Callithrix jacchus: one gene and its partners. The protein of the gene in region 1 purifies or fractionates together with the protein of each later gene. This does not show direct contact. Links are inferred from orthologs where the notes say so. Each region holds a gene or a part of one and is shown in the gene's direction. Other genes may lie near its edges.

The links.
Region 2: the proteins of AKIRIN2 (region 1) and IPO9 purify together in Homo sapiens (affinity purification with mass spectrometry; 3 studies listed by BioGRID and IntAct, counting the BioPlex papers as one, with this or other methods). This does not show direct contact. The link is inferred for Callithrix jacchus from reciprocal best matches to the Homo sapiens genes AKIRIN2 and IPO9.
Region 3: the proteins of AKIRIN2 (region 1) and RAN purify together in Homo sapiens (affinity purification with mass spectrometry; 3 studies listed by BioGRID and IntAct, counting the BioPlex papers as one, with this or other methods). This does not show direct contact. The link is inferred for Callithrix jacchus from reciprocal best matches to the Homo sapiens genes AKIRIN2 and RAN.

Annotation. Positions count from the first base shown.
Region 1 is NC_133505.1:93,759,860-93,770,136, reverse strand, and holds the end of AKIRIN2 (akirin-2), read left to right. Parts: intron 1-1,678; coding exon 1,679-1,822; intron 1,823-3,423; coding exon 3,424-3,573; intron 3,574-4,543; coding exon 4,544-4,615; intron 4,616-4,858; coding exon 4,859-4,869; 3' UTR 4,870-5,555; downstream 5,556-10,277. UniProt on the Homo sapiens protein: Molecular adapter that acts as a bridge between a variety of multiprotein complexes, and which is involved in embryonic development, immunity, myogenesis and brain development.
Region 2 is NC_133520.1:28,865,354-28,875,786, forward strand, and holds part of IPO9 (importin-9), read left to right. Parts: intron 1-721; coding exon 722-923; intron 924-5,070; coding exon 5,071-5,159; intron 5,160-7,001; coding exon 7,002-7,088; intron 7,089-9,254; coding exon 9,255-9,374; intron 9,375-9,482; coding exon 9,483-9,583; intron 9,584-9,783; coding exon 9,784-9,842; intron 9,843-10,433. UniProt on the Homo sapiens protein: Nuclear transport receptor that mediates nuclear import of proteins, such as histones, proteasome and actin. Serves as receptor for nuclear localization signals (NLS) in cargo substrates.
Region 3 is NC_133510.1:134,085,069-134,095,990, forward strand, and holds RAN (GTP-binding nuclear protein Ran), read left to right. Parts: upstream 1-3,736; 5' UTR 3,737-3,767; intron 3,768-4,228; 5' UTR 4,229-4,238; coding exon 4,239-4,274; intron 4,275-4,454; coding exon 4,455-4,539; intron 4,540-4,621; coding exon 4,622-4,747; intron 4,748-6,200; coding exon 6,201-6,388; intron 6,389-6,928; coding exon 6,929-7,099; intron 7,100-7,197; coding exon 7,198-7,242; 3' UTR 7,243-7,591; downstream 7,592-10,922. UniProt on the Homo sapiens protein: GTPase involved in nucleocytoplasmic transport, participating both to the import and the export from the nucleus of proteins and RNAs. Switches between a cytoplasmic GDP- and a nuclear GTP-bound state by nucleotide exchange and GTP hydrolysis.

The DNA of each region.
Region 1 (10,277 bases):
TTCACAAAGATAAATTTTTTAAAGTTTTACTGTATCTTAATTCTGGGTTAGCTTTCAGTGAACAAACTGAGGTTGTTATTATACAAGCATTTTTTTTTTTTTTTTTTGAGACGGAGTTTCGCTCCTTACCCAGGCTGGAGTGCAATGGCGCCATCTCGGCTCACCGCAACCTCCGCCTCCTGGGTTCAGGCAATTCTCCTGCCTCAGCCTTCTGAGTAGCTGGGATTACAGGCACGCACCACCATGCCCAGCTAATTTTTTGTATTTTTAGTAGAGGCGGGGTTTCACCATGTTGACCAGGATGGTCTTGATCTCTTGACCTCGTGATCCACCCGCCTCGGCCTCCCAAAGTGCTGGGATTACAGGCGTGAGCCACCGCGCCCGGCTATACAACCATTCTTTTAGTACATTTTAGTTGTGCTTTGGTTGATTTGTGAAGCAGTAGGAAGACTAAATCTGAGAACAGCTATATGGTGTTGAAAGAATGTATATAAGTCACACAAAAGGTAAATATTAAGGTCAAGTTACTCCAAGCTAGTACCTCCTAAAATATCTGGTTATAAATAAACTTTATCATGTTTTGAATGGCACTTTTGATCAGGATAATAATAGCTTTGAGCAGAAACTAATGAATGTGAGTGAAGCTTACTTTCTCTCTCAGAGCAAAATATAATTGCCTTTAAACCCTTTAGATAACCCTAAAGGATATGCCAGATACAGTTTTACTCATTTCTATGATTGTGGTTCAAGATAATTGCACTGTACTGTAGTGGTTCTTATTTATTGAGGATCTGTAATGCACCAATCACTTTATATGGTCTACCCCTCACCCACCCTCCAGCCCCAAGATTCAGAATGCTGTAATATTCTTAGGTTTTACTGAGCTTAAAATAATTGGCCATGGCCAATTTTTTAGTTCCTATCTACTTTGTCATTTTGTTGACCTACTATCGCTTCTCACTGGTGTGTGCTTGAATACACATAATCCCCCACACTCCTTCTTATTTATGGGCTTGGAAAAGGCATAAAGGCAATTGGAAAAGCCTGTTAGTGTAATAGTCCTATGTGATGAATAAATGAGCTTTGAGTTTGAAACACTAAGTGTTTTGGTTCGCAGACTCTTTGACCATTATTTCAATTGAAAAACTTAATTTTTGCCAGTCAGTGCACTTAGAAGTTTTGCTGGTATATTATTTTAAGAAATATCCCTGTGCACATCCCCTTCCTTGCACACGTGTCTTATTGGGATAGATTTCTAAAGGTGGATTATTATTTTTTTTTGATCCTATATCTGTTTTTAACCTACCTTTTGTTGGGAAAGGGCTACTTGATGGTTTTGCTAAAAGAGAATCGTCAATAGTGGTTCTTACCTTTAGTAAAGTTCTCAGCAAAATAGTTTTTCTTATGACAACAGTTGCCTTTGTTCAGTGCTTTCTCTCCTCCCCCCTAGCAAGAATGATATTGTTGAACACCTGAATTCCAGTTGGTGTGTATGTGCTAAGGGAATGTCACCATTTATGCTGAATAAATTCCTACCAGAATGTCAGTTTCCTGGATATTATTTGAAAGGAATATTTTGGGTAGATTGGTCTACTAAATAATTGTTGGAAAGCCAACCTTTTTGTTTTTTGAATGCGAAAATTTTTATCTTGACAAATTTTAACTTTTTTTCTTTTAGAACAAATTCTGTACAACATAAAACAAGAGTATAAACGAATGCAGAAGAGAAGACATTTAGAAACAAGTTTCCAACAGACAGATCCATGTTGTACTTCTGATGCACAGCCACATGCATTTCTCCTTAGTGGACCAGCTTCACCAGGTAATAACGTTTCTTTTCACTTGCAAAATTTATTATTTAGAGTGGGAAAAGTCTAATCCACGTTGCCTTTAGTTATTTAAGCTACTATATCCTCTGATTTTTAAAAAATTTATACAAGTAATACATGACATCTTAAAAATATGTACAAGGCCAGGTGTCGTGGCACATGCCTGAAATCTCAACACTTTGGGAGGCAGAGGCAGGAGGATCATGAAGTCAGGAGTTCGAGACCAGCCTGACCAACATGGTGAAACACCGTCTCTACTAAAAATACAAAGATTAGTCGGGTGTGGTGGCATGTGTCTGTAATCCCAGCTACTCAGGTGGCTGAGGCAGGAGAATTGCTTGAACCTGGAAGGTAGAGGTTGCAGTGAGCCGAGATTGCACCACGCACTCCAGCCTGGGGACAGAGCGAGACTCCGTCTCAAAAAAAAAAAAAAAAAAGGGACAAGGTAAGAGATTACCACCTGGATTCCTGCTAACCAGAGACAACCACCTGTATATAATATCTCTAGAGTGGGCATCTTCTAAGTACTATGATTTGTAGCCTTTATTAAAAAAAATTAACAGGCTAGGCACAATTGCTCATGCCTGTAATCCCAGCTCTTGGGGAGGGTGAGGTAGGCGAGTCACTTGAGGTCAGGAGTTTGAGATCAACCTGGTCAACATGGCGAAACCCTGTCTCTACTGGTAATACAAAAATTAGCCATGTATGGTGGCACACACCTGTAGCCCCAGCCTCTAAGGAGGCTAATGCATGAGAATCACTTGAACCCAGGAGGCTGAAGTTGCAGTGAGCTGAGATTGCACCACTGCACTCCACCTTGGGCGACAGAGTGAGATTTTGTCTCAAAAAAAAAAAAAAAAAAAAAAATTAACAGAATACTATGTGCTGGGAGGCTGAGGTTGCAGTAAGCCGAGATCATGCCACTGCACTCCAGCCCGGACAACAGCGCAAGACTCTTGTCTCAAAAAAAAATAAGATTTCTTCAGAAATGTGTTCCTCCTTTACCACTTAAGGTACCCTAATCTCTCCAAAAACATCCCTCCTATCTTCTTAATATCTGAAATTAATCTTTGAGACCTCAGAATGAGACTAGCCATAGCCATCTATAATACTGCTAAAAGTATTTTATACACATTCAGGTACACCACTCATTTCCTATCAATTGTTTCTTCATCTAGCTCTGTGTATTTGCCCTGGTACCACCACTGTTCCTGTCTTTACTTGCTCCTTATAACCTGCATTTTTTTTTAGTAGAGACATGGTTTCACTATGTTGGCCTGGCTGGTCTTGAATGCCTGTCCCACCTTGGCCTCCCAAAGTGGTGGGATTGCAGGTGTGGACCACTATGCTTTGCTTATGCTTAAAGGTTTTCAACTCACCTTTAGACTTTTTTCTCTGATTACATCTCGCTGTGTTTATCCAGCATGAAATTATTATTTTGAGACTTGTGAAATGCTGTGGTCAAAAACTGACTTGAAAATGCTTTTATATCAACATTGAAGAGTCCCAAATGAAATCTCTTCATTTGGAGAAAGAACTGCTTTCTCTCGTGGCTCTAAACCAAGTGCTATTTTTTTGTCCTTATTCTACATAGGGACTTCATCTGCAGCATCCTCACCATTAAAAAAAGAACAGCCCTTATTTACTCTACGGCAGGTTGGGATGATCTGTGAACGTTTGTTGAAAGAACGTGAAGAGAAAGTTCGAGAAGAATATGAAGAAATATTGAACACAAAACTTGCAGGTATGAGATGTGTTTATTAGTTTCCAAGGAACTCAGTTGTAAGAAATGCATTATTTTCTGTGTGTACTTTAATTTCACTTTCTATATACTAGTGCGGTATATTCTCTGAGAATGAGAAAATTTCAGTTTAGGAAAGGAAATAAAGCTTGTAGCTCATGGCCCACCTTGGCAACCTCAGGAAGAGAGTATTGGCTAGCTGTGTAGATCCGCAGTAATATTAGTATGTACCCTGTACTAAAAACTGAGTTTAGTTGTTTACCTCAATTTGGTTGTGGATTTTTTGACTTTATATGTTTCGTAACTTTGACCTCAATCTAGACATTTAAAATAACGAATTTGCTGTCACTATGTAAGTCATTTGAGTATCAAACTGTAGTCCTGTTTTAATTATCAAAGAAATTCAGTAAAATTTGATAATTTAAATGCAGCAAATAAAATTTATTATGTATAACATAAATAGAATATTTAGCCACACATTTAATGTTTATATAGATATATAACCTTTTTGATTTTTAAGGAATTAAAGTGTTAATGTAGAGAAGAGAATTTGCTTAGATGTATAACACCTTTTTCTGTGATACCTGATTAGGTTTTAGGTGGTTGTTTTTTGTTAGCTTTTGTTATCCTGTTTCTTCTCATTACAGTCAGTTGCCATTCATAGACCACACACAATAACTTTCAGAGTAGAAAGGTCTTTTTATTGAAAGCCCTTGTTTTTAATTGTTAGGAAAGAAATAAACCTCACCTAGGTTGTATGTCAGGTCCTGTGATTGGACTAAAACCTAGGTTTCCTGACTCGTAAGCTCCATGCTGTTTTTATTTGATACACTGTTAGTACTACTGAGGTTATGTAAGTGATTAAGTTTCAACTTAGAATTGTTTTACTATATGTTTTGTATTTTCAGTTTATCTGGCTCTAATGTTAAGGCATTTTACAAATCATGTAATTGACATGTACCTTTATTTGTAGAACAATATGACGCGTTTGTGAAGTTTACCCATGATCAAATAATGCGACGATATGGAGAACAGCCTGCTAGTTGTAAGTATTTCACTTTTGAAGTTATAAACTGAAAATAAGACTCTTTTTTAAGGAGAAGACATAATTATTTTCATACTCAAAAAGAGAATTTAACAATTACTGAAAATGTATGGAGGAAATAGTGTAACTTTGTAAGTCTTTTGGTTACTTAAATACCTAGGGGCAATATTGGAAATCAAGATCTAGTAATTGTTTGGATTCTAACCTGTACTTTGCACTAATTTTCCTTTTCTCACCCTTTAGATGTTTCATGAATCACGTATTCTACATTTGTGGGCTGCCTTGTTCCTTGTTGAGTTGTTGCAAGAGGTCCCAATTATGACATGCAGCAATGCCAATACCCCTTCTGTGAATACAGGTTATTTCAAGCTTTCGTCAGTGGCAACCACTCTTAGGCAGCAGCAACTGGTTTTGGAAATTTCCCTGATGTCAATACCACCTGGATGTGGACCTTTGCTACCTGTATTAATACCAGTGGCCTCATTTTGCTGTATCATTACAATTTGGCTTCTTATATTAATGTTTGAAAAGGATTAAAGCTGGTATTCTAGAACATGCCCTTCACTGGTTGTGTAAATAAAACTGTAGAATGACACTTCAGATGAAGTTAGTGTGATTTTAATTGTGCACTACAACCAAGCTGTAACCAGTTACTAATTTTAGAATGTAATCCCAGGACAAAATTAAGCAAGTAGCCTGCAGTGCTTCCTGTGAAATAATGAAGGAGGGCATTTCTTATTCCAGGACTTCTTGGGGTTTCAGAGTGGGTTTATATGATTTTCTTTTTTTTTTTTTTTTTTTTTTTTTTGGTAGTTTTATTTATTCTCTCAGTCTTTTTAACAAATGTTTATTGCTGCATTTTTTTTTTTTCCAGTGTATCATTGTTTTACTGCCCTTGTAGTACTGGAATTTAGTTGGAAGAATAAAACATTTAATTCTGTTCTGCTTGTTTCTTAATGTACAGATGGGGGGTTGTATTCAAATAAAGTCGGTGTTTTAAAACATAAGCATTTTCCAGGAATCAGTGAAGTTAATTTTCTAAGGTTTGAGTGCTATTTCAAAAAACTGAGTTCTGATTCTAAATTCCTTCTGTAATTTACTCCTTGATAGAATATTATAGATACCTTAACTGCTACAGAATTTTTTACCTCAGCTATCAGTAGAATCCAGTTTTTTTTTCTTTTAAAGACTTTATATGAAAAAGCATGATTCAGCAAATTTGACTCTTTCCATACACGGTTTCCAGACATAGCTTTCTTATAATGAAGTGAGCAAAAAAATGCTTCAGTGAATCCTTTTGTTGAATTCTAATAGCATATTTCCAAAATTTAAGACAATCTTAAATATACATTTATAATTGATCAAGTTAGTAAAAGAAAAGGGATTTACTTTTTCCTTTTTAGTGTTGGTAATTAGATTTCACCAATTCTTTGTTTAAAACAAGCCTAAAAAGTGGTTTCACAAGGTGGCCAGGCAATTTGTATGTCAATTAGATTGAGGAACATTGGTATAGCACAAGGTGCCAACAAGGTGCATAATTCTACCTCCATTTAATGGTCTTAGAACTGAGATTCTCAATCTCAGCACTACTGGCAGTTTGGGTCAGATCATTCTTTGTTGTGGTGGCTGTTCTTGCGTATTACAGGATATTTAGTCGTATCTGGCCTGTACCACTAGAGGCCAGTTAAACCCCTTCCCACAACTGTGATAACCAAAGTGTCTGCAGACATTGCCAAATGTCACTGAGGGACAAAAGAGTTCCTAGCTAAGAACCACTGGTTAGCAGGATAGCCTGTAGTCCCAGCTATTCAGAAGGCTGAGGCATGAGAATCACTTGAACCTGGGAGGCAGAGGTTGCAGTGAGTCGAGATCATATCACTGCACTCCAGTCTGGATGACACAGGGAGACTGTCGCAAAAAATTTTTTTTTTCTTTTACAGCCAAATGTCTGCATTATCGCTTACTCAAAAGTCCTAGCTTATAGGCTACTCTGACTTAAATGGGTCCAGTAGTTGATTAGTCCAAATACCAACCACACATGATTTCAATAGGAAGATTATTTTAGCTACCTAGGGATTCTGAATTCCCCAAATCCCTCAAATTGCTTGTAATTAGTATCTACAGAATTGTGTTAACAGTCATCTTATTCTTTTAGTAAAAGGCAGTACTGATACGGTACTGTACTATGATCTGTTTAGTAAATCTCTGATTAACAAGTGCACATAGCTATAATTCTTTGTATTTTTTGAAAAATAAGCAATCTGAGAAAAATAAATATTGGATGTTTAAAATACTGAAGCTGTCTTTGGCCTATAGCAAGACCCTAAAGAAAATAGAAGATTCTCAGGCTCTACTTATCCCTAGAGACTGCTTTAGACAATTAGGGGGAGGGGAGAACTTTTGGAATCTAAACATGCTGCCTAGGTGATCCAAGCAGCTACGGTTGAAAATAACTTGTTTTTGCCCCGTTTGGGTTCTCTTTACTCCCTTCAAAATCGTTTAGTAATTGGTGTTAAGTGATTATTCTACAAAAGCACCCTAATAGTCTGACTCTGTCTACTGATGAATTCTCTGCTCCTGCATTTGCCCTAGGTAAGGAGCACTAGATGCAAACCCATGTCTCAGGCAAAGGATACAGCTCCAACAGTCCTCTCTCTAATGCATCTGTTTTCTCTACTAAATCACTTCCAAAAGCATAATCATGTTAACAAAAAATCTTTTGATCCTATATCTCTTGCTAGTGATTATTTTACTGCTCCCCTTTATAAAAGCAAAACTCAAGGATTTTCTAAACTTCCTCCGTTTTATTACCGCCTCCTTTTTTCAACAACTTGTTTTATTAGAAAAAATATTCCAACAGAAAAGTTGAAAGAATAGTATAATGGTCCACTTAAATTGAAGTTATTAATATTTTGCCATATTTGCTTTGTATGAAACTATTTCGAAGGAAGTCATAGACATAACAATACTTAAACATGCATCTCCTAAGAATGTGATTCTATATAATAATACCATTGTCCAACCTAAAATTTAACATCAAGTCACTTCAGATTTTTTCATGTGTCTCTTTTTAAAATAAGTACCCTCATCCCCCAAACAGGATTCAATTAAGATTTTCACTTTCTGGAAATACTAGTCCTGTTGTCTTGTTGAGTTTTTCTTTGTAGTGTCATTAATTTAACTTCTAATATCCCTTTGAACTTCCTGTAAACTGCAAGTTAGGCCTAAAGTCTTTGTAAGTTTCAAGTTAAACTTTTTGTGCAAGAGTGCAAGGTGATGCTGTGGTTTCCATATTGCATCACACAGTTATGGCTTTTCCAGGCTGTTAAGTCTGGACACTCGGTTTGGTCATCTGATAGGTGATTAGGCTTCGTCTCCACTACTCTTAGTAAAACTCATCAAAGATTTCCACATTGTTAAATCTCAACAGCAGCTAGCGTTTTACCTTGAAGCACTCTTCGGTTGACTTGCAAAATACTACACTTAGCTTGATGTTTCTCCTTTATTGGCTACTCCTTCTGTCTTGTCTTTTGCTGCCAGCCCAGTCTTCATTTCCCTAAATTTTGATAAAACATTGATGTGTCCCCCCCACCCCTGAGCTCCGCCTTGGGCTGCTTACCTCTTCTTAGTACTCATCTTGGTGATCTCATCATAAGGACATCAGATTATATTAACCTGTGTGACATCTTCAGTTAAGTATCTACTAGACACCTCAAAATTTATGTCTAAAACTTACTTTTGCCTCTGAAATTTTTCCTCTCCATCATCCTTAATGACTGGTTTTCAGGCAGAAATGGTCTTGGACTCCTTACATCCTTTAAGCTTAGTTCCACCTAAAATCTTACCATCTCTACTTCTATTACCCTAGTGTCTTGGATTATTTCTGTGGTTTCCCAACTGGTCTTTATTTTGCCTCATTTGTGTCTCCTCTCACCCATTCTATTCTACTCTCATAGCAACCAGGCTGATCCTTTAAAAGTCAAAGTCTTGCTTAGTGGCTTCCTAAGTAAAGAAACCTTACAATGGTCTATGGAGCCCTAAATTACCTGCCCTCCACCCGATCCCATTCAACTCCTATTGAATTCTTACTGCTCACTCTGCCTTGTCCACACTGGCCACCTTTGCTGTTCTTCCAGTTGATTATTTATGGTACCTTGGGGCCTCCCCTTCTTTTTTAATCTTGGCAACATTTTGACTTTTTTTCTTTCTTTCTTTGAGACAGAGTTTCGCTCTTGTTGCATCAGCTGGAATGCAGTGGCACGATTATGGCTCGCAGCAAACTCCGTCTTCCTGGTTCAAGCGATTCTCCTGCCTCAGCCTCCCAAGTAGCCGAGATGACAGGCATGTGCCACCACGCCCGGCTAATTTTGTATTTTTTAGTAGAGACAGGGCTTCTACATGTTGGTCAGGCTGATCTTGAACTCCTGACTTCAGGTGATCCACCCGCCTTGGCCTCCCAAACTGCTGGGATTACAGGTGTGAGCCACTGTGCCCAGCCAGACATTTTTTTTGAGATATATTTCATTTAGCATTTTTATGTGCTTGAAGCAGAGAGTGAGGTGAGAAGGGTGACCCATTAATGTCATCTCAGTCCACCATGTTGGCAGAGGTCTAAGGTGTTCTTTATTCTAAGTTTGTATTAATACCTCCTTTTACATCCCTGAATGAAGGAGGTTTGATTATGCAAGTTGAATATCCCAAATCTCAAATCTGAAGTGCTCCAAAATCTGAAGCTTTTTGAGTACTGACATGCTCAAAGGAAATGCTCACTGGAGCATTTTGGGTTTTGGATGCTGAACTTGTAGGTATGCAAATATTCCAAAATCTAAAATCCAAAACACTTCTGTTTCCAAGCATTTTGGATAATGGATACTCATAAAACTCTTCAAAGCCTATTAGCACACATGCACACACACAATCTTGCAATTACATAGTTCCAAGGTTTGCAAAACAAAATATACGCATGGTAATTGTGTATGTTAGTGAGTAATCTTAAAGTCCCAGAATTCTCTTAGGAACAGAGCATTATTAAATAAGAAACTTTAGCTAACTTTGTTTCATTATGTCTTGAGTTTCTGCCACGGAAGAGATCAAGATGTCATTCATCTAGGCCTTACTTTCTTCATCTGATTTTTATTTGTTTGGGATGTGATTTGTAAAGGCCTTACTGGCTCCATGATGGGTCATCCAGAAATAGAATATTTACTGCCTTTAAGCATAAAGCCAAACAGTTTGGACCTTTTTTTTTTTTAAGTTGTAAGACTAAAGGAAATGGGTAGGCAGAGGCAGTTTTGGAACCTATGTAGTCACCAGCAGAAACAAACCTGGAGGATATTCATGTTACCTATTGTCTACTACACTAAAGTGAGGAATGCCAATGCAAGAAATTGGGGGAGGAGGAATGAGGTGTGCTAAATCAACTGCAAATTATACTCCTGGATGAAGGAATTTATTACATTTATATACTATAAGTTCAAGAATGATTTACTCATAATTTACTAATGACTTTGGAAAGTACAGTAAAATATGTGAGCAGTTTTAGTTATGTATTGTTTGTTGGATTCTAAAGTACTCCACAGGTGTTTTGATATATGCCCATTTGGGGTTAGCAATGTACTTTTCTGGTTAAACATCACATGAAGATTACCCATTTATCTTCTCA
Region 2 (10,433 bases), on another chromosome or scaffold:
TGAGGAAATATGAGGGTCCATTTTAAGAGATTAGACTATCCACATTCTTTGACAGCATGGAGCAATCAAAAGACTAGGCAGAAAAGGAGATTGGTGGCTGGCATTGTGGGCATAGTGCTGTAGATTAGAGAGCTCAAGTGTCAGGCTGCTCTGTGTTCAGATTCCAGTTTTGCTTTTCACAAGCTATGAGATCATTGGAAATGTAGTTAATGCCTAAGCCTTAATTTCCTAAATCTCTAAAATGAGAATAAAACTACCAACTAAGGGTTTAAGAATTAAATAATGTTTGTACTTAGTGCGGTACTGTGGAATCATCTAAGTTCTTAAGAAATTTTGAGGTATAAGATCTGGAGCAAGTTTTCCACTGGAACTTTCTGCAATTATGGAAATATTCTGTATCTGTGCTGTCTAAAACAATAGCTACTAGCTGCATATGGCTGTTGAGCACTTAAAATGGGGCTAGTGCAACTGAGGAACTGAATTTTAAATTTTTAAAAATTGTAATGGCTATGTGTGGCTAGTGGCTACTGTAATGGACGTCATAAGTTTAGAGATCACAGATGAACTCTCCAAATGAATTGTCAAGTTTATATATAGGAGTTTGCTGTAGATATGCAGTACCTTGTATGCATTATTTTTTCAACACAGTTCCCAACTGGACTGGGCTCTGCCAGTCACATATAACCTGATCTAATAGCAGGTGGACTTTTATCCCTTACAGGCAAAAATTGTTATCCGGGAGCTATTGCCTAATGGGTTGAGAGAATCGATAAGCAAAGTGCGCTCCAGTGTGGCCTATGCAGTGTCAGCTATTGCCCACTGGGACTGGCCTGAAGCTTGGCCCCAACTCTTCAACCTGCTCATGGAGATGTTGGTGAGCGGAGACTTAAATGCCGTCCATGGAGCCATGCGTGTTCTGACAGGTACCAGAAGCCCTTTTCCCTGGTATTGGTACTTGGATCTCAAGCAACGAGAGTATTATAAGAAGCTATGTGATAGAATGGCCCAGACCAGTAGGAACTGCTGCTTATGTTATTCCTCCTAGTTTTTATCTCTGCATCTACCCTGCAGCTCCATTGTATTTTTCTAGAGAATGAAGTTTTATAGTATTACATATACTACCAAACCTTACCACTTACAGATACAGTAATAGCATAGTGATTGAGTATTCAGATTTTGGATTCTTCACCTTGATCCTTCACTTACCTTCTTTAAGCCTGAGTTTCCTTGTATATAAAATTAAGATGTTAGTAGTGTCTGCATAAAAAAGGTTTTGGTATAGTTTAAATAGCTAATCTGTCTTTATTGACATGTTCAGTAGAGTTTAGTTACTTTGATAATTATTATATATTATTTTTCCACTTTGTTCAACCAAGGCAAAGTTAAGAATTGTAAAGTGGATTTTTATAGAAATATTAAAAAGAAGATAAAAACAGTATAGCCATATAATCCTGACCTTCATTTGGCCAGTTAAAGAATATGCAGTCTCAGTATCTTTTCTTTTTCTCTGTTCTGAGAAGTTGATAAAAATACTTCAACTTTAGGCCGGGTGCAGCGGCTCACACCTGTAATCCCAACACTTTGGGAGGCCGAGGCGGGCAGATCATGAAGTGAGTAGTTCGAGACCAGGCTGACTAATATGGTGAAACCCTGTCTCTACTAAAAATACAAAAATTAGCCGGGTGTGGTGGCGTTCGCCCGTAGTCCCAGCTACTCGGAAGGCTGAGGCAGAAGAATCACTTGAACCAGGGAGGCAGAGGTTGCAGTGAGCCGAGACCGTGCCACTGCCCTCCAGCCTAGGCAACAGAGCAAGACTCCATCTCAAAAGAAAGAAAGAAAGAAAAGAAAGGAAAGCAAGAAAGAAAGAAAGAAAACTTCAGCTTTTAGTTCAAAGAGATTTGATGGATATCTCTTCTAAACCTGATTAATCTGTCAATCCCACCCAGAGTCTACTTTCATATGTCCTTAGGGATGGCCTGAGTTTCCCAGTCCTTTGCAAGTTCCTCCCTGCTTTCTATTCCCTAGATGAAGTCACTACTCTGTTTTGCCTTCAAGAAATTCTTACCTGGACTTTAGTCATCCTGTACTGATCTTTTAGAAATCATCTTTGTCCTTCATTCACACAGGTTTGTCAAAGTCCCACCAATACCTTATCTCTTTCTGTATGCCCTGCTAGTTTACCTGAAATGTATTCTTACCTGGTTCTGCATGCCAATTCTATTCTCTCTGAATCTCAGTTTACTGAACTTAGCACATAGGTCCAATTTTGCTAGTCTGTGTGATACTAATGGTAGATAATATCAACTCTTTGCCAAATACAAGTCTTTTTTCTCTTTTTGTTTCAAAACCACCTCTTCCCATGCCCCAGCTGTCTTTTTGAATTACCCACGATATTCGTATTGATTGCCTGTGACAAAGCTTCAATTTTTAGCCCAGATACAGAACAGACTTACCAAAAAGATCAAAATGTTCCTTGCTCAGATTTTTACTTCCCTGCTTATTGCCCTTGCTTCTCCTTTATGACTCATGCATTATTCAGGTGATTTCACACACCCCTCTCCATGGAATTGGCCTTTTAGAATTCTTTATTCACAACTTCATAGTGCCAGTATATCGATTAACAGATACATGTTCTACCAACGAAAGGAAACCTATTCCCTCTCAGACTTCCAACATGAAATTCAGCTTCTTTTGACAAACCTGGAGAGTAAAGGTGTTTGTACATTTATCTTGATTTGGATGCTCAAGAGCCCTTATTGTGTTTGACTAAGGAAATTACTGTTCAGTGAGATCACTTTTCTGCCAGCCACAGGGAAAGAACTGTTGGGGAAATTTGTCTCCTTTTGTAATGGAGTCACCAGACATGGAATGGCTGGCAGCCAAGTGCTATTCCCAAATAATTGCTCCACATATTTTCAAACAAGGGCAGACAACGCTCTGACAACAAAAACTTAGGCATGCACGAGGATAGCAAGACATTGGCGATGGACAGAGGCCCATTAGGAGAATGGTACTGATTCTCTTCAGAGTCTTTCAAGATACTGTACCAGTTTCCCTTTAATGAGGCTTCCTTTTAAACTTATCTACTTATAGATGAGAACTGACTAAGGCTCATGTTGTGAAGGAAATGCAAACATACCAGCTAAGGATTGATCCACAGATACAGCTTTTTCTTCAGTCTCAAAGAAGTTTGGAGATTGAGGTGTTGCTGGAGTCCCAGAATTTTTCTGACTTGCAGAATCACTTCAGAAAACTTTTGGAATTAAACCTATAAAATATTAATAAATTGACACCAGGGTTGAGTATAGGAGAGTAAAAAGCAGGTAAGCGCTTTATTAGTAGAATTAAATTGGCTGGATGTGGTGGCGCACACCTGTAATCCCAGCACTTTGGGAGGCCAAGGCAGGTGGATCACCTGAGGTTGGAAGTTCAAGACCAGCCTGGCCAACATGGTGAAACCCCGTCTCTACCAAAAATAAAAAAATTAACTGGGCGTGGTAGGCGCCTGTAATCCCTACTCAGGAGGCTGAGGCAGGAGAATCGCTTGAACCCTGGAGGCAGAGGTTGCAGTGAGCCAAGATTGCACCACTGCACTCCAGCCTGGGTGACGAGTGAAACTCCATCTCAAAAAAAAAAAAAAGAAATCATACTATATTTTTCATAAAGGTTGTTATCATTATGCCATCTATTATGTTTATTTCAACTAATTTCCTTGGATTTCTAAATAAAATAGAACACTCACTATTCAAAGCTCAGACTTTATTCTTGAGGAAGAAATTACAGCTAGTAAAGAAAATTCATCCTTGAGTATTTTATCTTCATTTGACTCATGGGGATTGATATTGCCCAAAACTATTGAGTACATTAATCCTGAAAATGCCAACTTGTATTTCTAGCTGTGTATCTTCTCCCAAAATGTCCCAAGTGGTTAACTTTTTTTTAAATTTATTTATTTATTAGAGATGTGGTCTCACTCTGCCAACTTGTGTTTCTAGCTGTGTATCTTCCCCCAAAATGTCCCAAGTGGTTAGCTATTTATTTATTTATTATTAGAGGTATGGTCTCACTCTGTCACCCAGGCTTGGGTACAGTGGCCCTATTGTAGCTTACTCCTCCTGCCTCAGCATCCTAAGTAGCTGGGATTACAGGCACATGCCACCACATGCAGCTTTTTTTTTTCCTTTTAAATGTAGTGGCATATCTTGCTATGTTCGGGCTGGTCTTGAACTCCTGGCCTCAATTGATCCTCCCACCTCAGCCTCCCAAAGCTCTGGGATTGCAGGTGTGAGCCACTGTGCACAGCTTCTGTTTCCATTTTTATAGTGATAATGTAGAAAAGCATCAGGTGAAGTGAATACTTATTAGAACTCAAGGGCTTTTATCCTGCTTCTTTGTAACATGAATCCAGGGTCCTTTGTGCTGTCTCAGTGCCTTGTGTGTGGTGTGGGTTTTTTTTTTTAAGAAGTGAAAGGAAAGATACGACCCATATTTCCGTCACCTTCTTCAAGTCTCATTCTGTGTATAGGATGCTTTTTTGCCACATTTATGTAGAAAATCCCTTTTTGTTCCAGTTAGTAACAGCCTCTAACTTTTAGGTCAATAAATATACAAAATAGAGTTGAGGCCTACTAAGTCTGTACATGTTATATTATGTGCATCAAACTAGCTTGCCAAGCAAAAGTACTGAAAACAGAACCAAAGGTAAGAAACCTCAAAGTGTAACTGAATGTTGACAAATGGGCACATGATAAATTAATACAGAATTTTCCAAGTTTACCTCACAAGGACTTTTACATAGTTCTATTACAGATTTTCTTTCAGTATTTGTATTGTTTTCTTTTTTAATCTCTTGTATTTTTCTCTATTTCCATATTATTCTTTCTCCTTCTAACAAATAATCAGCAACTCTCGCTAATTTTGCTTTCACAGAATGAGACCACCAGGCCACTGTCTTTACCTGTGTCCTGTCTGTTTGGGAACTGCCACCTAGAAGCAGTTCACAAATATCACGCTTAATATCTGTATGAAGCAGTATTTTTTTTTTTAACAGTACTGCTTTTTTCTTCGTAGAATTCACTCGAGAAGTGACGGACACACAGATGCCACTTGTTGCTCCTGTCATTCTCCCAGAAATGTATAAGATCTTCACCATGGCTGAGGTATGAAATCTCAGCTCCAAGATTATAGTGAGTTCAGGCTCTCGTCAGCCCCCACCTCTCAGTTGGGAGATTATAGTGTTTGTAACTGATGTCAATATCTAAAGACTAGAACTGAAATCTGAATTAACCTTGGACCTTTCACTCAACTATAAGGGCAAGCCTTTGATAAAAGAGTGCAATAGCCAGGCACAGTGGCTCACACCTGTAATCACTGCACTTTGGGAGACTGACAGAGGCAGATCATCTGAGGTCAGGAGTTCAAGACCAAACAGCCAGACCAACATGGAGAAACCCCGTCTCTATTAAAAATACAAAAATTAGCCTAGCATGGTGGTGCATACCTGTAATACCAGTTACTTGGGAGGCTGAGGCAGGAAAATCGCTTGACCTTGGGAGGCGGAGGTTGCAGTGAGCCAAGATCATGCCATTGCACTCCAGCCTGGGCAACAAGAGCGAAACTCCATCGCAAAAAACAAAAAAGTGAAATAGCTTAAATATTTCTTCACATATCATACTTACTGGCATCCAGGAGCCCCTAAGTAAATAAATAGTGCCTTCATGCTACTTCCAGCCTCATTGAGTTATCCCACCTCAGCTTGCCTACCTCAGCTAAGTAATTGGAAGCAATCTATCACTGCATTGCACATAATAGACCCTTAATATATTGTATGTATATTTGATTAGTGTGTATATGAATAACGTATTTATAATAAGGTATAAATCCCTGATAATCTTTTAACTTCCCTATACCCCTCAGCCCTCAACCAATGATCTGCATTTTAAAGGAAATATATTGGCTGTGTTAGGATTTTTTTTTTAAAGAAAGAAAAAAAAAGGAGTGAAGGAGAAGAAAAAGGAAGAAGGAAAAAGGAGAGTGAAAGAGGAAGAAAAAGAGGGAGAGAGAATGGGAATGTAGCTTTATTCTAAAAATGGGCATTAATAATGGCCGATCAATATTTTGTGTATTTAAGGTGGAGAATGTATATTTTGTGTATTTAAAATGGAGAGCTTTATAAATATTTATTGAGTTTACTTGTTCCAGATCTGCGTTTAAGTCCTGGGTATCCTTATTAATTTTCTGTCTTGTTGAGTCTAAATCTCTTTATGGGTCTTATGTATCTGGGTGTTAGTGTTGCATTGATCCTTTTACCACTATATCTTTGTTGCTTTGAAATCTATTTTATCAGATGTGAGAATTGCAACTCCTGCTTTTTATTTATTTATTTATTTTTGCTCAAAAATCCCACCAGGCTGGGATTTTAAGCACTACCCAGCCTGGTGGTTTTTTTTTTTTTTTTTTTTTTTTTTTGAGATGGAGTTTTGCTCTTGTTACCCAGGCTGGAGTGCAATGGCGCGATCTCGGCTCACCACAACCTCTGCCTCCTGGGTTCAGGCAATTCTGCATCAGCCTCCTGAGTAGCTGGGATTACAGGCACGCACCACCATGCCCAGCTAATTTTTTGTATTTTTAGTAGAGATGGGGTTTCACCATATTGACCAGGATGGTCTCAGTCTCTTGACCTCATGATCCACCTGCCTCGGCCTCCCAAAGTGCTGGGATTACGGGCGTGAGCCACCGCGCCCGGCCCGGTTATTAATCAAATGAACCAGAAGCCCATATATAAGGTTCATTACAGTAAGTTCCAACATTATGATTCTACTATGTTTCATTCTCTCAATTACGGAAGTCTGCCTCCTGGACATAAATGAATGACATTTACCATCTCTCAAGGATATCTAATGTCATGTGAGGATTCATTAGTCATAGCTTTACTTCTAGTCAGAGATACACACATACCTACATGCTCTAATCTCATAGCTATTCTGTAACCTTTTTTCCAGGTCTATGGTATTCGAACCCGTTCCCGAGCTGTGGAGATTTTTACCACTTGTGCCCATATGATCTGTAACATGGAGGAGCTGGAAAAGGTAAGCGGGTCTTTGGATCAATAACAGACTTCATGCTTAAAAGTCTTATTCATGCAAAGCAGTGAGTCATTTCATGATAGCAGCACCAAAAAGCACACTAACCAGTATTAGAGATAGACACATTTTTATTAAATTATTATTTTTCCAGACAAGGTCTTGCTCTGTCACCTAGGCTAGAGTACAGTGGTGCAATCATGGCTCACTGCAGCCTCGAACTCCTGGGCTTAAGTAATCCTTCCACCTCTGCAACTCCCACCCCAGTAGAAACTACACGTGTGATGTGCACCACTACACTTGGCTGATCCTCTTTTCTCTTTTTTTTTTTTTTGTAGAGATGAGGTTGCACTATATTGCCCAGGCTGCTCTTGAACTTCTGGGCTCAAGTAATCTTCCCACCTCAGCCTCCCAAAGTGCTGGGATTATAAGCATGAACCACAGCACCCAGCTATATTTTTATTTTTTTATTTATTTGAGTTTTTTTGTTGTCGTTTTTATGAGACAGAGTTTTGCTCTGTTGCCAGGCTGGAGTGCAGTCACACAATCTCGGCTTACTGCAACCTCCACCTCCTGGGTTCAAGCAATTCTTCTGCCTCAGCCTCCTGAGTGGCTGGGATTACAGGTGCGTGCTACCATACCCAGCTAATTTTTGTGTGTTTAGCAGAGACGGGGTTTCACCATGTTGGCCAGGATGGTCTCAATCTCTTGACCTCATGATCCGCCTGTCTCAGCCTCTTAAATTGCTGGGATTACAGGCGTGAGCCATCATGCCTGGCCTAACGAATCTATTTTTGTAGAGAGTGGGTCTCTCCCTGTGTTGCCCAGGTTCATCTTGAACTCCTAGGCTCAAGTGACCCTCCCACCTTGGCCTCCCAAAGTGCTAGGATTACGGGTGTGAGCCACCACACTTGGCCTGATTGAATTTTCAATTTGTAAAAAGCTTAATCTACATACACACACGCGCGCACACACGCATGCTTTATGCCAGACTTTCAGTAAAAATTTGCAAGATACACTGTCTTGGGTAAAAGAGAATTGGTGGAAAATTAAAGACAAAGTTGTCTTCCATATATGGAGTTAATGACAAAAATAGAAGGGAAAAAATGGCCAGGAGGTGAGATGCAGACAGGTAATAAGAATTTAACAGAAGCAGGAAATGAAGAGTAGGAAACCAAAGAAAAATATGCTGTGAACAGTTGAACCCTACCCCTACCACAGAGATACTAGGATTCCCAACCAGATGTGAATTTGGCCTAGAGTGTATTTTGTTTTGTTTGTTGTATTAAAGGAATGATAAATTCTAAATGCTGGATGTCTTTGGGCGACATGGCGATAAGTTGTATGGCAATTTTTTAGTGAATTATCATCAAATGCCAGCGTCTCTAATCACAGGTCATGCAACTCCTTGTGGTAGAAATGTAATCCAAATATTAATCTCTCAATTCCCAGCCCAGTTTACCATCCCTCATCATTAAAACAGAACTAGAGAGGATGACAAGGTCTAGAGCTGAGAACAACAGTGCCTTGGATCCAAGGCAGCACAATGATTCAAAATCAAATATGCAGCTGGCCAGGAGACAAATTCAGGTGACTCACAGATGCTCTTTGACTCAATTTTGTGTAGTAGAATTTCAAGACAGGGATAACATTATTAAAACTTCCAGCAATTCACAGCCAGTATTTTCAATTAAAAATCACTGGGTTCTGGCCTTAAATAAGGCTATTGAATAACTTATGCTAATAAATGGATCTCCCTCACACTTAAAAATTATCTTAAAAAAAAAAAGCTTAGTCGCCTTTTGAGTCTTACTTCTTCAAACACTTTATCCTATATCCTTTTCGCAGTAGTCATCACTCAGAACTTTCCTACTCTTTTATGGCCCCTTTTGTGTGAAGCAAAGCAATCCCTGTGATTCAGAAACAGTTATGAGGAAAGTCGTCGGTCTTGCGTAACAGTTTGTAAGAGGGCTGTGATGAAGAACTACCAGTGCTGGTTAATGAAACTTTGGGTAACACCTTCACTGACCTTATAGCTATTCTCTTCTGGTCTGTCTCGGAACCTGAAGAGAGCTTCAGGTGCCTTTCAAATATCAGTGTTTGATACATATGTTTTCAAGCATTGACTGGATTAGGGATTTATCCAGCATCGACTTTGGTTTCTGTTATCAGGGTGCAGCCAAAGTCCTGATCTTTCCCGTGGTACAGCAGTTCACAGAGGCCTTTGTTCAGGCCCTCCAGATACCAGATGGCCCAACATCTGACAGTGGGTTTAAGATGGAGGTCCTAAAGGTAAACACTTCCTACCAATGAAATACTTGGAGTTTGAGAGGGTGGTCTGAAATCATTGATTTCTTATATATCACTCATAACTTGGATCTTTTTCTCTTAACTTCTTAGGCAGTGACAGCCCTAGTGAAAAACTTCCCAAAGCACATGGTGTCCTCCATGCAGCAGATTCTGCCTATTGTTTGGAACACCCTAACTGAGAGTGCAGCTTTATATCCTTTCTTGAAAGCTTAAGGGAGCTACTACCACCTATAGTTAGGAATCTAGCATTGGGTCTCTCATTCATGTGGTTCTACTCTTCTTAAACAGGCCTTTTTAAGGTGTCTACTTTTAGTGTTGGAGTATGTAACATTTCCTTGTAGATTATATGTAAAGCAAACTCCAAATTCTATTTCTTTACTCTTCATCATACTTATGTGAGGACAGAAGTAAATTACACAGAAGAAGTAGAAGATCCCGTGGATTCTGATGGTATGTAGTTTATTTGATCTTTATAGAAATGCCACTTAGTGGAAAAAGAAAAAGAAGCCAGAGACAGGAGGTAAAAAAAACAGTAAACTTGAGAGGCTTCATTCTATTAAGTGTTTTCTAATTGAGTTTATTTTCAGTATATTAGATGTGAGGAAATAAGAATTGACAGTCTTCAGTCTGTTCCTCATAGGTATTTGCATAAATCTCATAAAATCATAGAATTTCTGAGTTGGAAGAGATGCTTTTAAGACCATTTAATCTAGCCTGTTTCTGGCATTTTGTCATGTTTCATTTTGGTGTCCCAGTTGATGAGTCTTTTATTTCTATTTTAATATTTCGAAGTATTTCAGATTAGAAAAATAGACATACTGGGAAATATATTCAGTGTTTCTGGTTATTTTACTTGAAAAACCAAAGAATATTTAATGTCCTCAAAATTCTGTTTTGTGACTTCTGAGCCCTCTCCCAATTCCTCAGGAATAATTATTAGCAAGTACTTTAAATATTCAATAATTTACAGAGATAATATAGTTCATTTTCAGCATGTATGCTTTCTTTTTACTTTCTCGCCATTAATTTCTTCTTTTGTAT
Region 3 (10,922 bases), on another chromosome or scaffold:
CTGGTCTTGCACCTCGAACCTCAAGTGATCCATCCACCTCAGCCTCCCAGTGCTGGCATTACAGGCGTGAGCCACTGCACCTGGCCAAGGGAAGAGAAGTTTAAGCGGAGGAACCAGTAAGTGCAAAGGTCCAGTGGTGGGAACAAATTTGGCTGGGGTTAAGATATGGAAATGCCTGTGAGGCTACAGGGAGAGGCAGGAGCCCAGGTGGGAGAGGTAGAAATGAGCTAGAGCCCATGGGACCTCCCTGACTACAGATTTCACGGATCTAAGTGAGGCAAATAGGAAATCACTGCAAGGTTTTACGAGTGGAGGAGGAGGATCTGATATGGTTTTAAAAGCTCACTCTGGGCCACGTGCAGTGGCTCATGCCTGGTATCTCAAAACTTTGGGAAGCCAAGGCAGGAAAACTGTGGCCAGAAGTTTGAGACAAGACTGGGCAATATAGCAAGACCCCAGCTCTACAAAAAAGTAAAAAAAATTCTGGGTGTGGTGGTGCGTGCCTGCAGTCCCAGCTACTCGGGGGGTTGTCGGGGGGCTGAAGTGGGAGGATCACTTGACCCCAGGAGTTCAAGGCTGCAGTGAGCCATGCTCACAGCACTGCACTCCAATCAGGGTAAACAGAGAAATACCCTGTCGCTAAAAAACAAACAGATCCACTCTGTGCCTCCTGATCAGACACTAAGGACACAGCATCATCTTGTGGTTGCTCTACCCAAACTGCATGAGCTGTATCTAATGATGAGGAAGTATCAGAGAAACACAAATGAAAAGACAGTGTACAAAACACCTGGCCTATAAAATACTCTGCAAGGCCGGGCGCGGGGGCTCACACCTGTAATTCCAGCACTTCGGGAGGCTGAGGCGAGTGGATCACCTGAGGTTAGGAGTTCAAGACCAGCCTGACCAACATGGTGAAAAGCCATCTCTACTAAAAATACAAAAATTAGCTGGGTGTAGTGGCGGGTGTCTGTAGTCCCAGCTACTCAGGAGGCTGAGGCAGGATAATCGCTTGAACCCGGGAGGCAGAGGTTGCAGTGAGCCAAGACTGCGCCACTGCACTCCAGCCTGGGTGACGAGAACAAGACTCTATCTCAAAAAAAAAAAAAATTGTCATCCTAGTACAGGGGCCATGCTGTTCTCTGTATCATTCCAATTTTGGTATACGTGCGGCCGAAGTGATCACTCGACTACCTGTGCCAACATAATGAAACCCCGTCTCTACTAAAAACACAAAAATAAATAAATAGCTGGGCATGGTGGTGCAGGCCTGTAATCCCAGCTACTCAGGAAGGTGAGGCAGGAAAATCGCTTGAACCTGGGAGGCGGAGGTTGTGGAGGGCCCAGATCGCGCCCCTGCACTCCAGCCTGACCAACAAAGTGAAACTGTCTCAAAAAACAAGAAGAAAAAAAATAGAACATTGCAGGTAAAGTCTTGTTTGACTCCTCTGCTCAGTGCCATCACTCCTTTCTACCCTTTCCTGAAGGAATAACCATCAGGATATGGTGTACGGATCCTTGCAGTCAATTAAAAAATAAAATACATATATCCAATAACCAACATGCTTTTGTTCTGTGTATTTGTAAAAATATTACCTAAATGGCATTATGCTATAAATATAATGTGTGTGTATATATTCCCTCTAGGCAAAATTACATACAGTGTTAGGCTTTACATATTCTTTTTTTTTTTTTTTGAGACAGTTTTGCTCTTGTTGTCCAAACTGGAGTGCAGTGGTGCAATCTCAGCCCATTGCAACCTCCGCCTCCCAGGTTCAAGCCATTCTCCTGCCTCAGCCTCCCAAGTAGCTGGGATTACAGGCGCACGCCACCACGCCTGGCTAATTTTTTGTATTTTTAGTAGAAACGGGGTTTCACCATGTTAGCCAGGCTAGTCTCGAACTCCTGACCTCAGGTGACCTGCCCACCTCAGCCTCCCAAAGTGCTGGGATTACAGGCGTGAGCCACCGCACCTGGTCTATGTATTAATTTTTGAAGACAGGGTCTTGGTCTGTCTCCCAGGCTGGAATGCAACGGTGCGGTCATTGCTCACTGCAGCCTGGAACTTCTGGGTTTGAGGGATCTCCTACCTCAGGCTCCTAGAGTGCTGAGATTACAGGTGACCTAGACTTTATAAAGATATGATCACTTCTTTTCTCAACATTATCCTTTTGACATCTATCTAACCTGTTCAAACAGATGACCATCTTTCCAATGTTCTACAGCATTAAATGCTGTGCACATGCATGAGGCATGAGTTTCCCTTCAGGGCCTCTCCCTAGAAACGGAAATCCAGGGTCACAAGCAGCGGGCATTCCCGTTTTGCTGTTAGATTCTGCTCTCCCACCAGCAGCGTCTGAGAGGTGGCTGGCGTTCCCGAGGGTCCCTGGACTTGCGTTTCCAGCTGGCCGGTTCTCGCGCGCCTTGTGCGCACTTTGCGTCACTGGGGTTCCCAGCGGACTCGCCTGCAAGTGTGCTCGTGACTGCTGGGCGGACCCCTGGGTCCCTGGGGCTCTTTCCCCACGGGGAACTCTTTTCTGAGGTGCTTGACTGCGCTGATTTGGGCCTTTATCTGTCTGCATGTCAGCAGGGGCGCCCAGGAAGGACCCGTGGGTCGGGGTCCCTCTAGCTCAACCTGGCCTAGGCTCTTCACAGCTTCAGCTCCACAGGGGGCCGGGAGCTTGGGCACTTCCTCATTCCGCCCCCGAGGGTAACTACGGCTGGAAGACCCGCCCACACCGCAAACGAAATTTCATCGTTTTGTTTGTAGGATGCGGCCGCCATGGCTGCCGACCTATGAAACGCTCCGAGAAGGGGTGCTATGGCCGGGCGCGGTGACTGCATCTGCAATCCCAGCGCCTTGGGACGCCGAAGAGGGCGGATCCCTTGAGGCCAGACTGGGAGACACAGTGAGATCCTGTGTCTCAATTAAGACAAACAAAATCAGCCCGGATGTAGCGCGCGCTTGTAGTCCCAGCTACTCGGAGGCCGAGACGGGAAGACTGCGTGAGCCTGGCAGTTCCAGACCAGCCTGGGCCATACAGCGGGACTCCGTCTCAAAAGAAATAAGCACCCGTGTTTCTGGGTGGGCGCATCCCTCTCTGATGCCTCGCTCTCCAACTGTCCCTGGGCCTGGGGGCGTGAAGGCTAAGCTCTGGGGAGACAAAGGCGCGGGCTGACCCTGGGGGACCGGCCTAGGACCCATTCATTCATTCATTCGTTCTGTCACCTACCGGTCCTGCGCCGGCCTATGCCCCAAAGACCCCAAGTACCCTCACTCCACGGGGCGCAGACAACGACAGGCTGGCCAGCGCCTGGAAGCCGCGTGCCTGACCGCGTCTGCCCGAGCGAATCCCGCCTCCCGCCGGGGAGGCCGCAGGGCCGCGCCTGTCCCGCCGCGCCCAGCATCTCCCGGCCAGGAGCGCGCCGCCTCACCAGTGGCGCATGCGTGCCCGGGAGCCCGCCCTGAGTGTTGGCGCACATGGGGCCCGCGGGTCGGCGTGCGTGCGCGCTCCCGCCTCGTCCTCCCACGCGGTCCACCGCGCCTACCGCCCCACCCTGCGCTCCACCGAGCCGGGTTGCGTGCGTGCGCGCACGCGCGGTCCACGTGGGCGGGCACCGGACCGTTGCTCCGCCCCTTGTCAGCCCCGCCCCGCGCCTGCCCCGCCCCTGCCGCGCGCCGGCGTCGGCTGCGTCTCAGGCGTTTGAATTGCGCTTCCGCCATCTTTCCAGCCTCAGTCGGACGGGCGCGGAGACGCTTCTGGAAGGTAACGACGCGGCTGGCCGGGCAGGGCCGGGGTGGGGGGGACAGGGGCCGTGGCGGCGGGACAGGGGCCGCGGCCGGGGTCAGGGCCCGGGCTGGTGGCCGGCCCCGGGGCAGCGAGCGGCTGTGAGTAGGTGGGTGGCGCGGGCCGGGCCGGGCCGGGGGAAGAAACGGGCGTGGGGTCGGCGCCCGCCCCCGCGAATCCCGGTTCCATCCCGCGCTCCCATCCCGCTCCCGGTCCCAGTCTCGTCTCCATCCCGGCCCCCCCGTCCGTCGTTCCTTGGGTCCCGCTGCCCCGGATGCCGGCCCCGCCCGCCGCCTTCCCGCTCCCAGGCCCGGCCGCCATGGCGCCGCGGGCGGGAGGCCTTTGTGGGGCGGGCACGTGGGGCGCGGGGGGCGCGGGAGCGGGGCCGCCATGGGCTGCGGGGCCGCGCGAGCGCTCGTCTCCGTCCTCTGCCTCCGCAGGAACGCCGCGATGGCTGCGCAGGGAGAGCCCCAGGTCCAGTTTAAAGTAGGTAACCCTGCGGGGCGGGCGGCGGCCGGGCCGGCCCGCGTGCGCCTCGCGGTCCCTCCTCCCGGGCCCACGATGGCTGTTAGCCGGGCCCCGCGTCCGCGTTCTTGGCGTGGCGGACTCTGGGATCCGGAGAGGTGAAGTGTTCTGGGTTTACTTCCAAAATGTGTTCTCCAACAGCTTGTATTGGTTGGTGACGGTGGTACCGGAAAAACGACCTTCGTGAAACGTCATCTGACTGGTGAATTTGAGAAGAAGTATGTAGGTATGTGCGGGAGCACCTTGTTCGCGGACACGGGTGGGAAACGGGTCAATGCGCCCACTCACTGGCATCGCTTCCGTCGCAGCCACCTTGGGTGTTGAGGTTCATCCCCTGGTGTTCCACACTAACAGAGGACCTATTAAGTTCAATGTGTGGGACACGGCCGGCCAGGAGAAATTCGGCGGACTGAGAGATGGCTACTATATCCAAGGTAAGCATCCGTGACTTGCTGAACCGTTGCTGAGAGCTTTTGTGTACTGCATCCTTCAAGGTTATAGAAAATCAGGCCGGTTCCGGCAAACAGTGCTTAATACTGTTAGGGGAACTGTGTCATTTTTGGGTTAAAAAACGTGAGCTTCGGGGAGCTGACCACCATTTTGGTGGCAGAGGAGAACATTTTATGCAAGTTGTGTTATTTGCATGCTGTGTCATGCTAGGCATGGTTTAGAAGAAACTGTGACTTACACTGGGTACATGTCATAGTTTAAAACAATCACAGACAGGCTGTTAGAGCAGTTCAGTATATGAAAACAGGCTCAGGTATGAATTTAGACGTAGTGATCAATGATTGTTTGTACTCCATTAAAAAACACCAGGGAAGATAGGGATCTTAGCAAGTGTTATGCAAGACTAGGTGATTTCTTGTTACATTGTTTGTACTAAGTTGCGGAGAGTATTTTTCTCAAATAGATTGATTTTTAAAATTGCAAGGAAGACGTTCATTATACCAAAAAGAGGAGTAAAGGAAATACTCATCTCTCCTGGATCCTCACTTTGCTGATAACAAATTATTTGGAATCATTCCATGCCTTTTGTTTTCCTTTAGTATGTACAAATAAACACAAGAATTTCCCCCCAAAAATCTTTTAACCAAAAAGTTGTGGATTCTTGCTTTATCAACTATGCCATAGCTGGCCCTGCAGGTGAATATATAGACTTTATTTGGGTTTGTTATTATTTTTTGAAACAGGGTCTCTATGTGGCCCAGCCCAGAGTGCAGTGGTGTGATCTCAGTTCACTGCAGCTTCTGCCTCCTGAGCCAAGCTGTCCTCCCACTTCAGCCTCCTGAGTAGTTGGGACTACAGGCACAGGCCACTATACCTGACCAATTTTTGTATTTTATTTATTTTTATTTTTATTTTTTGTAGAGATGGGGATTCATCATGTTGCCCATGCTGATCTCGAACTCATGAGCTCAGGTGATCACCCACCTCGGCCTCTCAAAGTGCTGGGATTACAGGCATGAGCCACATCGCTTGGCCTGTCTGGATTTAAGACAGGAATATTTCCTGGTATAGTCAGCCATGCCATTGAAAGACCTTCTGAAGAAGGTGTTTGCAGGCCCCTTACCCTCAGAATATGGCAGCTCGGTTCTGCAGAATCTCACTTATCATTAATCTACCCGAGATACTTTTTGGGATGAGGGTACTGTTAATGATGAAGTGTATCAGGGAGGTTTGACGGGGTCAGCTCATCTTGCTTAGGAAGAATTGTGAATTAACATTTTTAGAAATTGCGAATTGACATTTTTAGAATTGGAAGTGAAGGGAGAAAGCTAGGAGACTCGGTGAGGTCTAAGACCAGATGAATCCTAGACTGGTTCTTGGCATTCTTCATGTGTGTAGTAAACTAAGTGTACTAACTACCACAAATGTTCCTTTCAGCCCAGTGTGCCATCATAATGTTCGATGTAACATCCAGAGTTACTTACAAGAACGTGCCTAACTGGCATAGAGATCTGGTGCGAGTGTGTGAGAACATCCCCATCGTGTTATGTGGCAACAAAGTGGACATTAAGGACAGGAAAGTGAAGGCAAAATCCATTGTCTTCCACCGAAAGAAGAATCTTCAGGTGTGTGAAAATTAAAACTTCCTGAGTTATTTCTCTTAGAGGAGATGATACGTAAGACCATGAAATTGACCAGTCTATATTATATATGGAAATAATTTTATTTTTATGCTATTTTTATTGTTTTTAAAGACTGATAGAGATGGGGTTTCACTGTTGTCAGGGTTGGTCAACTGAAGTGTGTGTGTCTCTTGTTAAGACAGGGTCTTGCCCTGTTGCCAAGGCAGGAGTGCAGTGGCATGAACATAGCTCACTGCAGCCTTGAACTCCTGGCTCAGGCAGTCCTCCCACAGCCTTCCGAGTAGCTAGGACCACGAGCACTCACCACCACGCCCACCTAATTTATTATTTGTAGAGATGGGGTCTTGCTCTTGTCCAGGCCTGATCTTGTACTCCGGGCCTCAGGCAATCCTGCTACCTCATCCCCCCCAAAGTGCTGGGATTACAGGCATGAGCTACCATGCCCCACCAAGAATCTTTTTCTTATTTTGGAATGTTCTGGGAAAATCAACTTTAAAAACTAATTTTTACTTTTTTAAACAGTACTACGACATTTCTGCCAAAAGTAACTACAACTTTGAAAAGCCCTTCCTCTGGCTTGCTAGGAAGCTCATTGGAGACCCTAATTTGGAATTTGTTGCCATGCCTGCTCTTGCCCCACCGGAGGTTGTCATGGACCCAGCTTTGGCAGCGCAATATGAGCACGACTTAGAGGTATTGTGGCCACTTTGCTGTCCAGGCTGTTGTGTTTGGCTTGTGTATTCCTGGCAGTTTTGAGCTGGAGTGTTAACAGTGTTCCTCTCTTCATCTAGGTTGCTCAAACAACTGCTCTCCCGGATGAGGATGATGACCTGTGAGAATGAAGCAGGAGCCCAGCGTCAGAAGTCTAGTTTTATAGGCAGCTGTCCTGTGATGTCAGCGGTGCAGCGTGTGTGCCACCTCATTATTATCTAGCTAAGCGGAACATGTGCTTCATCTGTGGGATGCTGAAGGAGATGAGTGGGCTTCGGAGTGAATGGCAGTTTAAAATACACCTTCATTGTTTGGACTTGCATATTTAGCTGTTCGGAACGCAGTTGATTCCTTGAGTTTCAGATATGAGACTGCTGCAGTCACATCACAATATTCAGTGGTGAAATCTTGTTTGTTACTGTCATTCCCATTCCTTTTCGTTTAGAATCAGAATAAAGTTGTATTTCAAATATCTAAGCAAGTGAACTCATCCCTTGTTTAAAAATAGCATTTTGAAGCCACTAAAATAGAGATATTTATGCCATGTTAATGTTTGGATTGCCTTGCTGTCCTTAATTTGAAATCTGTTAGGTTAATTTCTTCCTATGTCTACTTTTTATTTTTGTACATTTGAGCTGTGTCTCACAAACTCAGCATGACAGGTCGACAGACTGTTTGGTTAGGAGAGTTAAACGGTGTAAAGACTGTGCAGGTGAAGTAAAGCGATGTCTGTTCCACCTTCATTTAGGGTAGGTAGGGCCCTCTTGGGAGGAACCTGCTCAAGATTTGTGACCTGTCGACAAAAATGTGGTTTGTACATACCAAATAGATATTTTAAGGGTAATACTTGGTTTTGTTTTGTGGCAAAAGTAATGTTTTGATAACTTCAAACAGGATGGAATGTCTGGATGGCGGGAGCTTGGGAATTCTTGGTGTTAAAAAGTATAAATTTTGCACTTTCTGTTTGAATGTCAGATGCTTAGTGTTAACTTGATACTCAAGGAAAATGGTCCGTGTTTACCCAGTTTTCAGGTACTCCCGGGCTTTCAAGATGTCTTAACATTCAGTTCTTAAGCAGTACACACACTATACTTTTTGGGGTTTTTTTTTTTGCCCTGAGGATTTGTAGGGCAGCGCAGCGGAGCAGGGCATGGATGGAATACTAGGAACGTGGCACAGTGGAGCAGGGGTGGGGTGGGGCGGGGCGGGGTGGGGGGGGCGTCTCAGTGGCAGAGAACAGCTGTGAAACTTTTTTATCAGACTAAACATTTAATTTATCTTGTATATTTTCCACATTTAAAATGAATTAGGTCTATCCTGATTAGGAGTTCGATCCCATCAATGCTATTCTTGTAGAAGTTAGGAATCTTAAAAATAAGAGCTATTTTTTCCTCAGTTACTACTACAGTCCAGTTAACCAAAGTTTTCTTTAGATGTCTGATTATCTGGAGATGATTACTTTCCTACTTTAAAAGGTGTAGAAAGGATCACTTAAATATATGGAAAAACGAAAAAGGTGAAGCTGAATCACGTTCTACTTACTGTATTAACTGGCAACAGACCTCGAGTGTCTTAAGATCTTAATTGCTGTGTTTGTGACACTATTCAGAACCAGCTTCTAACCAGCCTGTGTGAGATGGGAAGTTTTTTCCCATAACTGGGATGAAAGCTTTCATTCAGATATTTTGAACTTAAGGTGTATGTGTTGTTTGTAACCTTGTGTAGAATGCAAGTGGTGTTGACATTCTGGATCTTCTGTGTAACAGTTGAAATTTGGAAGTGATGTCACTTACCTGTCTAACATGGTGTGGGAGAGATTTACAAGTCATTGGAAGAATAATTGTTGCAAAATATATTGCTTCTACTTTGCCTGGATTTTCTGAATCTTCTCTAGTATTGCTTTAGGAAATAGTGAATGGTTAGCAGAGATTATTATGTTTTCTGGGGAGAGTGGGGAGGGGAGGGGTCAATTCTATCCAGATTGTACAAATGGGAAGAGTATGCTCTCCATCTTTTGAAGTCTGGTGCCTTAAAGGGGGAGGCCTGAAGCTTTATACAAAGTTACTGCGTACCAGTAATCGCTTGTTAGAGCAGAGGCACTGAGAGTCACTGCAGGGCCTGTCTTGTCGGTATATACTGAAATAACCAGTAAATTGGTAGTGGTAAAGTGTTGGAGAGCAGTTTAAATTTGTGTGAGCCAGTTTTTGAAAAACTAGGATGGGGTTTTTTGATCATATCAATCATAAAATGTCTAGAACCAAAGAGGACTGCTTTCCTGGCTAACTTCACCTGGAGGAACTCAAGGACAGAATTTCTGGTTTCTTTTGCAAAACAGATGAGGAACACAAAGTTACCTGCTGAGCAAATGAAATGAGGGAGGGATTCAGCTTTTCTTGCCAGTAATCTGTCAGACATCGTGTATACTGTTTTCTGCCACGTTGGGGCTGCGGGTATCCTCCCCAGCAAGATAACGTGAGACTTAGGCTCCCCCTGTCTAGGACAGCACCCATCCTAACTCCTTGCAGTACCTTGTACCCTTCAAGCTGAGGGCGTGGTGGGGAGGGAAACCACCTAACCACTTGCCTTTAGTTAAAGGGATCAGAGTCCTGTTCAAAAAACAAATGTGATGTGTCTCCCCTGCTCCACATTTGCTACCAGGCCTTGTACTCTCTGGTCACATGCATCCAGAGATGACACAGCTGTGTGCATGCCGCTTTTCAGAACAGTCCCTCCCCTTCCTGAAGACAGTCCTACCAGTGAACGCTTCAGCCTCCTCAGACTTCACTCACTGGTTTTGTACCTTAGGTGAGTCAGATGTCCGACTGGAGACGTCACCGGCTTCCCTCTGCCCTAGTCAGCGTGGCAAATCTGCAGTTGTAACTTTCCTTGCCTAGTCGAATTGCCATGAAGGCAAGGGCCCTGTGTCTGCTCTCTCGTGTCCCCAGTGTTTATTAAATGTTCTGTGGGAACCTCAAGGAAGAGAACTTGGGGGTTAGAAATGGGGTGGGATTGATGGAGGTAGGTGGAGAGGAGAGAACAAGATAGGGAGGGTCGCCCTATGGCCACCACAAGGCCTCGGCATCCAGCCCCTCAGCGGACTCCTCTGTTGAGTGAGCAGCCACTGCAAACGCCAGGCGCCAGCTCCACCCATGCTGGTGGGCTTTTAACGAGGCAGGGGAAGAGGATTCAGGGGCTTCTCCAGTGTGAGGTGTGAGCTGCAGTGCCTAAAGCCACTGATATCCGCTGGCAGTGTCAATCGCTGGTGACAAAACTATGGGTCAGGCAGGTGGTCGTGCGGCAGCTGCCCCCCAGGTGTGAAGGATGGGAACCACGTGGCTGGGAAGCGCAGTTGGGAAGCCAGCGGGCAGGGGAACTGGGTGGGCAGTGCGGCAGGTCTGGGGGGAGAGCACTTGCTCTTTGCTTCCTCTCTCTCCCGATGTCTGACCTTTTTCCCACCAAATGAAGAAGTTCATACATGCTGTGTATTAGAAGAGTGGGAATTTGAGTCATTAAAAGACATGGTCGCCACAGTTCCCCCCCACTAGAGGTAACTCGTTGACATTTTGTCATATATCCTTTCAAGTGTTTTCTAAAAAGGGGATTATACTGTAACGCTCTTTCGTAACCGTGCTTCACTTTTTATCACGGGCTTTTCTGTGTCAGTGAGTTTTCCAGCGCTTTTCATAATTACCCAGTGATGCAGAGCCCAGCTGGGCCGTCATTACTGTTGCAGCCTCTGTGGTTCTTGTCAGATGGCATTTCTGTCTCGTCCCACTCGTCTGCGTGCTGCTTGCAGAGTGGGAAA